Macaca mulatta: one gene and its partner. The protein of the gene in region 1 purifies or fractionates together with the protein of each later gene. This does not show direct contact. Links are inferred from orthologs where the notes say so. Each region holds a gene or a part of one and is shown on either strand. Other genes may lie near its edges. The genes, in order: MAU2 and KPNA1.

Region 1 (3,808 bases):
AGGTGTCGCCTTGCAGGGTCAAGCCAGGCATGTGCCTCCCTTTCAGCCTGTTCAGGCTTTGACACTTGCCTCTGAGGGAGTCCCTCCTTGTTGTTCCTGGAACACACTGGGGACACCCCACTAAAGACAGACCCCACAGGCACCCACGAAGCACTCAGAACAGCCCTAGGTGCTCTCACAGCCTTGGGGGCTGCGCCATGAGCCTTGACTGCTGGTTCTATGCTCCATTAAGTTTAGACGGTGTCTACTGCAGGCACCATTCAGTTAGATGACATATATACCACAGGCCAACTGGAGCTCTGTACCCAAAGCAATTAGCGTTGATGAGATAATTTGGTTAATTTAGCTCACAACTGACACAGGCAGTTTCATTGACGTGGGGAGGTTTGGTTGTTGGTTAACAAAGCACAAAGGCCAGGTACCGTAAAACTGATGGGTTTGGCAGCAAAGGTCACTGCTCTCTCTCTCCGTTTTAGCAACTGCACACGCTTGAGAAGGACCTGGTGTCGGCCTGTGACCTCCTGGGTGTGGGGGCCGAGTACGCCCGGGTAGTGGGATCTGAGTACACACGGTAGGCACCCACTCCCCTCCTTCCCTCCCGCTCTCTTAACATAGAGGGGGCTTGGCCACCTTGGTCCAGGACAAAGAACAGAAATGGCATTTCAGGCCAAGCACAGTGGCTCACAGTATATTCCCAGCACTTTGGGAGGTCAAGGTGGGAGGATCACTTGATCCCGGGAGTTCAAGACCAACCTGAGGAACATAGTGAAACTCCATCTCCACAAAAAATACAAAAGTTGGGGCCAGGCTTGGTGGCTCACGCCTGTAATCCCAGCACTTTGAGAGGCTGAGGTGGGAGGATCATGAGGTCAAGAGATTGAGACCATCCTGGTCAACATGGTGAAACCCCATTTCTACTAAAAATACAAAAATTAGCTGGGCGTGGTGGCGAGTGCCTGTAATCCCAGGTACTCAGGAGGCTGAGGCAGGAGAATCGCTTGAACCTGGGAGGCAGAGGTTGCAGTGAGCCAAGATCGTGCCACCGTACTCCAGCCTGGTGACAGAGCGAGACTCCGTCTCAAAAAAAAAAAAAAAAAAAAATTGGTCACCATGAGGCACAGGTTTGAGCCTGAAGTTCAGGCACCCAAACTTGCCCACTGGCCCTCACACTGTGTGTCCACCGCCGCATATTTTTTGTAGAGATAGGGTCTCACCATGTTGCCTAGGCTGATCTCGAATTGCTGACCTCAAGTGATCCGCCCACCTTGGCCTCCCAAAGTGTTGGGATTACAGGCGTGAGCCATTGCACCCAGCCCCCTTCTGGGCTTTTCACATGAGTGTGTCTAAGCCATGTAAGAAAAATAAATACAGGCTGGGCGCGGTGGCTCACACCTGTAATCCCAGCACTTTGGGAGGCCGAGGCAGGGGGATCACTTGAGGTCAGGAGTTCGAGACCAGCCTGGCCAACGTGGTGAAACCCCATCTTTACTAAAAACACAAAAATTAACCAGGCATGGTGCCAGGCTCCTGTGGTCCCAGCTGCTCAGGAGGCTGAGGCAGGAGAATCGCTTAAACCCGGAAAGCAGAGGTTGCAGTGAATTGAGATCACACCACTGCACTCCAGCCTGGGCAACAGAACGAGACTCTAAGAAAAAAATAATAAAAATAAATAAAAATAAACACAGGCACAATAGGATAAAACAGAGCAGTCTTGTACGGGGACTATTTACTGTCGTCCACTGAACTGTCCCCCGAGGTGGCATATTAGGTCCTGTGAGCCTTGGGGTAGTCACAGTCATCTCAGGAGGCTCCTGGGCCTTCTGGGACCTGACCCCTGCCTCTTGTTTTGCAGGGCGCTGTTCCTCCTCAGCAAGGGGATGGTAAGTTGAGGCTGGGCATGGCTGGATGCAGCCGGTGTCGTGGAGGTGAGGCAGGACTCCCTGCTCAGACCCCGTCCGCTCTCCATGGCATGGCCCCTCACACGCCCAGACCCTTAGGCATAGTGAGCAGCCTGGAGTGTGAGGCCCAGGCCCTGCTGGGTTCAGGAGGGAAACTCAGGCTCCTGCCGATGGGATTCATGCTGAGGCAGGAGCCTGGTTAGGAGCTGCCTGGGCCGGGGTTTCAGGCTGGCCTTGCCCTCTGGGTTGGAGGCAGTAGTCCCAAGGCAGGTGGGCAGGTGAGCCTGTGCTCCCAGTCCCAGGAGGGCCCCTGCAAGCCCTGTACCCTACACCTGTGTCTCTCCCTCCCCAGCTGCTGCTGATGGAGCGCAAGCTGCAGGAGGTGCACCCGCTGCTGACCCTCTGTGGGCAGATCGTGGAGAACTGGCAGGGGAACCCCATCCAGAAGGAGTCGCTGCGTGTCTTCTTCCTGGTGCTCCAGGTCACTCACTATTTGGATGCCGGGCAGGTGTGTGGCGCCTCTTGGGCGGGCTGCTGGTTGTGACCAGTGGGTGTGGGTGGCACCCAGGCCAATGGGTCTTGGGCTGTGAGGTCACCTGTGTCATTGCCTTACCTTGCCACACAGCAGGGCTGTCTTTCCAGCCCCAGACACACACACTTCTGTCCTGCTCTGCTGCGAGTGCTGGCACCATCGTGCCTGCCTGGTGTGCTGGTGCCTGGGAGCAGGGTCTGTCCTGGCCACCCTGCCTCCCTTTGGGAGTACTATGTGTGACATTGTATACACTCGCTCAGTGTGTGGATGCTCAGAGATTGCAATGACGGTTCAGGGAATCATGAGAATAAACCACAGAGGTGCTGGGGCGGTGCCTGCACACAGCAGATGCCCAACTGGTGTCTGTCTGGCCCCCCTGCTGTGGGATTGAGTAGGGACTGATGTGCCCAGCTGTGTCCGAGACTGGACTCCATGACCCCGCCGTGGGTGGGAAACAGCTGTGTTTGAGCTCCTTGTCTGTGCTTGTGTGACCGTCTCGGCCCTTCAGGGGCTGGGGGCTGCCCTGTGCCCCTCAGACCCACCTATCATGGTGGGCCACAGGCGAGTCTCTCCACAGGGCTTGGTAAGGGGGTTGTCCAGTTCCTCCATCCATACCCATCGTTGCCCATTGGGTGAAGCACTGCACTCGGCGCATAGGGACACAGAGCAGACTGCAGCCGCGCTTCCCTCGGGGTGCTAGGGCCGCAGAGACATCCCTCGGGGCCTCAGGGCGAGATGGACCACAGCGCTTGCCCGACTCCTGGGCCAGGAAGCCACCTCCCACCCCCGCGGAGCACAGCCTCCCCTTGCTGTCTCAGGTCTGGCTGCAGGAAGACCAAGTGCAGCTCCAGCAGGGTCTGGACAGGCCTCTCCTGGGCCTTGGTGTTGGACCCAACACTGGGCAGTGGACAAGCCTCAGTCCCACAGCTGCCCGCCTGGCCGTGCCCCGTGCCCTGAAAGCCTGGCTGATTCATGGGAGTGCGGCAGGGGCGGGTCCATCTTGCAGGAGGTGGCCCTGGCAGAAGGGGAAGGCAGGTGCTCCCTGAAGGAAGGGGCAGGGGTGGCTGGGCTGGGCCCGGCTTCCTGAGAGGCCAGGCTCAGGTGGGTGCTCGGGTGTGGGTGCTGCACAGGTGAAGAGCGTGAAGCCGTGTCTGAAGCAGCTGCAGCAGTGCATCCAGACCATCTCCACGCTGCACGATGATGAGATCCTGCCCAGCAACCCCGCTGACCTCTTCCACTGGCTGCCCAAGGAGCACATGTGTGTGCTTGTCTACCTGGTGCGTCCCCACCAGGGCCCGAGCCAGGGCTGGGGGCGGGGGCGGGGAGAGGGAGAGGGCCCTGGTAACCCCTGCTGTCTGGTCTTGTTGACAGGTGACTG
Region 2 (4,394 bases), on another chromosome or scaffold:
AGGTCTTAATTGATTTTATACACAGTATTCATACACCTAAAAACAATCTGGCAGACTTAAAAGCACAGACTTCATAAATCATTAAAACTCTATTTTATCATTAATTCAACAAACACTGCTAAAACACTGAAGATGAAAACAATAGGATATAATCCTATTCTCAAATGTAAAGGGAAAAGGACCATCGAGAGCAACAGAGAATAAAGAAAATAATCCAGGAAACAACTGACAGCAATTCCAGATTACGTATAAAATAATTTTTAACATAGTTGAGACTAAAGAAAATTATAAAAATTGAACACAGCTCTGAGCCTCCTGACAGTCAAAAGTATGGAGAAACAGGATGGCTTACAAAACAATCTAATAAAACCAGTCATCTGTTTTTAAAAAAAAAAAAAAAAAAAGCTTAATACTGGGGTCTTAGGAAGAATTTGTCTCCAAGGTCTGTATTTTATAGGAACCAATAAATAAATTAGAAATTTCTTCATTAGATGTAAATGAAGAAAATGTTTTTCATGGCCCCTTTTGGTATGTATCAGTTCTAGATAAGATGTATATTAAATCATAGTTCTGTGAAGAAACTTCTATGAGAACCACTTTATAAAGTAACATAATGCAGCTGGGCGCAGTGGCTCATGCCTGTAATCCTAGCACTTCAGAAGGCCGAGGAGGGCGGACCGCGTGAGCTCAGGCGTTCGAGACCAGCCTGGGCAAGACGGTGAAACCCCATCTATACTAAAATACAAAAAATTAGCCGGGTGTGGCCGTATGCGCCTGTAGTCCCAGCAGTCTCAGGCAGGAGAACTGCTTGAACCAAGGAGGCGGAGATTGCAGGGAGCCTGCAGGGAGCCCAGATCGCATCACTGCACTCCAGCCTGGGCAACAGAGCAAGTCCTCCACACCCCCCCCAAAAAATAATAAAATTAAAAATAACATAATGCAAGAACAGTGATTTCAGGTGATACCTTTCCCATTTAGTTTATTCTAGGTTTTTATAAATGTATGTTTTGTTGCCCTACAGGACTGTAAATTCCTCAAGGCTTATGTTGTCTGCTTCCATTTCAACTGCCTTTACTATTTAGTAGAGTGCTTTACAGTTGCTACTCAACTATAACTGATAAAATGTTATGCAGTCAATATTTGTAATATTAGCTTTCCCCGCTACACTATAAATTCCATGAGAACAGTGACAGTGAGTTTTGATCGCGACTATATCCCTCCAAATCTAGAAGATCACTCTATAAGTATTCGCTGATTGAACGGATTAAATAAAGAAAACACAACGAAAAAGTATGAAAGGAGAGAAATAATTTAAATGGCAGTAACTTTGGGTTCTAAGGTTGTTCTCAATAAGAGCTAGAAGACCTCAGGTAAGTTACTTAACATTTGATTGTCAATGCTTTCATCTGTAAAATAGAAAAATTAACAGATATTTCAGATTTAAATGTTTTTAATATATATATAAAGCATTTAACACAATACCTGAAAAAGAACTCAATAAATGTTAATTCCTTTACTTTCTCTTACATCTCATCTATCCATAAAACAGTGCCTTCCAGGAATATATTATTTCAGTAAAAATACAACAGTACTCATTCTTACTTTCCTTTGAAAAATTAAATTTTCATCTCTTTAATCTTTAAAAAGGAGGGAAAAATAATTTGTGGACTGCTTTCAAAATATTACAAATGCAAAAGCTAGTTAAGAAAAAAACAGTGTCGAGAATGAGCCTTGTTGGTGGCACCCGCCTGTAGTTCCAGGTAATGGGGGGGATGCCTTGAGGCCAGGAGTTCCAGATCAGCCAGGGAAACAAAGCTAGACTCCATCTCTTAAGAAAAAAAAAACAGGAGGGGGGAAATCACCTTATCTACTAATAGAGATTTTTAAGCAACCGTTTATTTAAGAAAAAACGGTGAAATTCAAGTTAATATTACTTGACAGTACCCGTTTCAGAAAAAAAAAAAATACTCTGCATTGCTGGGTGTGGTTGCCCGAGACTAGTCCCAGCTACTTGGGAGGCCAAGGCAGGAGGCCAGTTTGAGCTCAGGAGTTGGGAGTACAGCCTAGGCAATATAGCGAGACCCCATCTCTTTAAAACACAAAAATTCGGCAATCGTTTGTTCCGAGTTGAAACCTTAAAAACGAAATATTTTGAACGCTTTCACTTAAAAGTGGAACACGACCCAATCCCAAAAACATTACTTCATGACGACTCCCTTGACTCCAGTCATCCTTCAGTTTTATCCTCCAGTTGTGAGCTTAATCTGATACCTAGCTGTTTCCCTCGCATCGCCACTTTAACACGCGGTGTGCAGACCAAGTTCTGTCATTCCTGTAATTACCACACCCCCAATCAGCCGCTACAGGCCCCTGTTGTTATGACATCTGTAAACTGCAGCCGGTCGTCTCCACCTCCCCGCGCCCCCGCCCCGCTTCCCCTACCTCCCTCCGGGCCGCCGGCTCCGACCCGGGCTGTAACTTGTGAATTCCCAAGACGGTCCCTTCTTGCCAGGGTTAGAAATTTTACACGCCACCCCTGCTCCTTCCTGCCTCTGTCAGAGCGCTCTGCACGGCCCACCTCCGCCTCCCGCCCGCCGCCCAGCCACGGCGCAGGCTCCGCGCTCGCCTCCTCTCCGCCCGCTGCCTCGGCACTCCGCAGTCCCCGGCGCCGCTTACAGCCCTGCCGCCGCGCCACGCCGCCCCGCCCCGCCTCGACCGGCGTTCCCGATGGCGATCACACCAGGGCTCCCCACCCCCACCCTCTCCTCCGCCGGCCGCGCGGCCGTTAGGACAGCAGGGCCCGTGACGCACGGACGCGGGCCGAGCGTCCGGGCCCAGGCACCGCGGCTCGAGGCCCGGCCGGCGCCCGCCCTCGCCCCAGGGCCTCTCCCGAGTCCCTCCCGGACTGCCCGGATCTGCCGGCGGGAGGGGGAGGGGCCGGGGCCGCAAAGCCCCCGCACTCACCAGGCTCAAGGCAACCGATCCCGGTGCCACCGCTGAAGTGAGCCCTCGCTCGCCCGCCCGCCGTGCCGCTCCCCGCGCACAACCTCGAAGAGCTGGCCCGCGCCTCGGCGGTGCTCAGCAGGCCTCGCTCTCCGCCGCCGCGCACCTAGCAGCAAGACTCAGCTCTGCCGGCGTTCGCAGTGCGCCTGCGTGCGGGGGCCGGCCCGAGCGCCTACGCGCGCCCCTCCGGCGCTTGCCGCAGAGGCTGCCGGGAGACGTAGTCTTGTAACGCTCTCTCGCCGCACGTTCCTAGCGATTCTCGCCCAGCCTGCGAAGAGTCGGGGATCGGGGAGAGGAGAGGGTCTCGCTAAGAAGGAGGTTTGCAGACCATAACAAAGGTTGGAGAAAGTTATATGTGCAAACCTGTCTTTGCTAAGCTCTTCCAGGGCGGATCGATGTTCACCTCTGTATAGCTTCTAACAAAGTAGGTAACTAATACGCGTTGATGGAATGAATGATGGAATGATTGAAGACTGAGGGAGTATTACAAAATTAGTAGGTCAGCGCCTCGTGTCTAAAGGGCTCACATGCAGTATGAATGCAAGAAGCTTCTGGACATTCCTTTTTTAGTTATGTCCCATCCCCTTTGCTTGATAATGTATGAGTAGTATCAAAAATAATTAAGTGCCGGGTGCAGTGGTTCACACCTGTAATCCCAGCACCTTGGGAGGCCTAGGCCGGTGGAATACTTGAGACCAGGAGTTTGAGACTAGCCTGGGCAACATCGCGAAACCCCGTCTCTACTAAAAATACAAAAATTAGCCGGGGGTGGTGACGGGCGCCTGAAGTCCCAGCTACTGGGGAGGCTGAGGTGGGAGAATCACCTGAGCCCGGGGTTGACGATGAGGCTGCAGTGAGCCGAGATCGCACCACTACACTCCAGCCTGGGCAACCGGAGTGAGACCCTGCCTCAAAAAAAAAAAATAATAATAATAATAATTAAGAAACTACATGAAACACAAATACTCGTTTAACTCTCAAGTGCTCTCAAACGAAAACTTGGAGCAAATGATTGTTAATGTTAAATTTGATGGAATTCTTTGGGGGAGCAAATGGAGTAGTGGCTTCAAAAGAAAAACTGAAGCCAGCCTAGCAGGGGTCACAGAATAGTAGATAGATTTAAAACATATGCCAAGAAGCAAGGTAAAAGAGATGAGGTAGATTAGTACATTTATAAATGTCCCAGGGAAGAGGAGAAGACAGAGGACCACTCTACCTGAATCCTAGGTTATGCAATGTTCATTTGTCCTGGACTTCACTCTGCTGCATCAGCATTCTCCCGCGATGTGTTTACTAAGATCAGAGTTGAGTTTGAGCAATGTGGCTGGGGAAAGGGAAGGTGTGTTCACCAGGAGAGACTTAAGGGCAAGTTTGCCTGACCCCAGCTAGAC

Evidence for each region.
Region 2: the proteins of MAU2 (region 1) and KPNA1 purify together in Homo sapiens (affinity purification with mass spectrometry; 3 studies listed by BioGRID and IntAct, with this or other methods). This does not show direct contact. The link is inferred for Macaca mulatta from reciprocal best matches to the Homo sapiens genes MAU2 and KPNA1.

The regions. Positions count from the first base shown.
Region 1 is NC_133424.1:19,928,463-19,932,270, forward strand, and holds part of MAU2 (MAU2 chromatid cohesion factor homolog), read left to right. Parts: intron 1-476; coding exon 477-571; intron 572-1,852; coding exon 1,853-1,880; intron 1,881-2,250; coding exon 2,251-2,406; intron 2,407-3,560; coding exon 3,561-3,707; intron 3,708-3,801; coding exon 3,802-3,808. UniProt on the Homo sapiens protein: Plays an important role in the loading of the cohesin complex on to DNA. Forms a heterodimeric complex (also known as cohesin loading complex) with NIPBL/SCC2 which mediates the loading of the cohesin complex onto chromatin.
Region 2 is NC_133407.1:161,251,191-161,255,584, reverse strand, and holds the start of KPNA1 (importin subunit alpha-5), read right to left. Parts: upstream 3,047-4,394; 5' UTR 2,965-3,046; intron 1-2,964. UniProt on the Homo sapiens protein: Functions in nuclear protein import as an adapter protein for nuclear receptor KPNB1. Binds specifically and directly to substrates containing either a simple or bipartite NLS motif.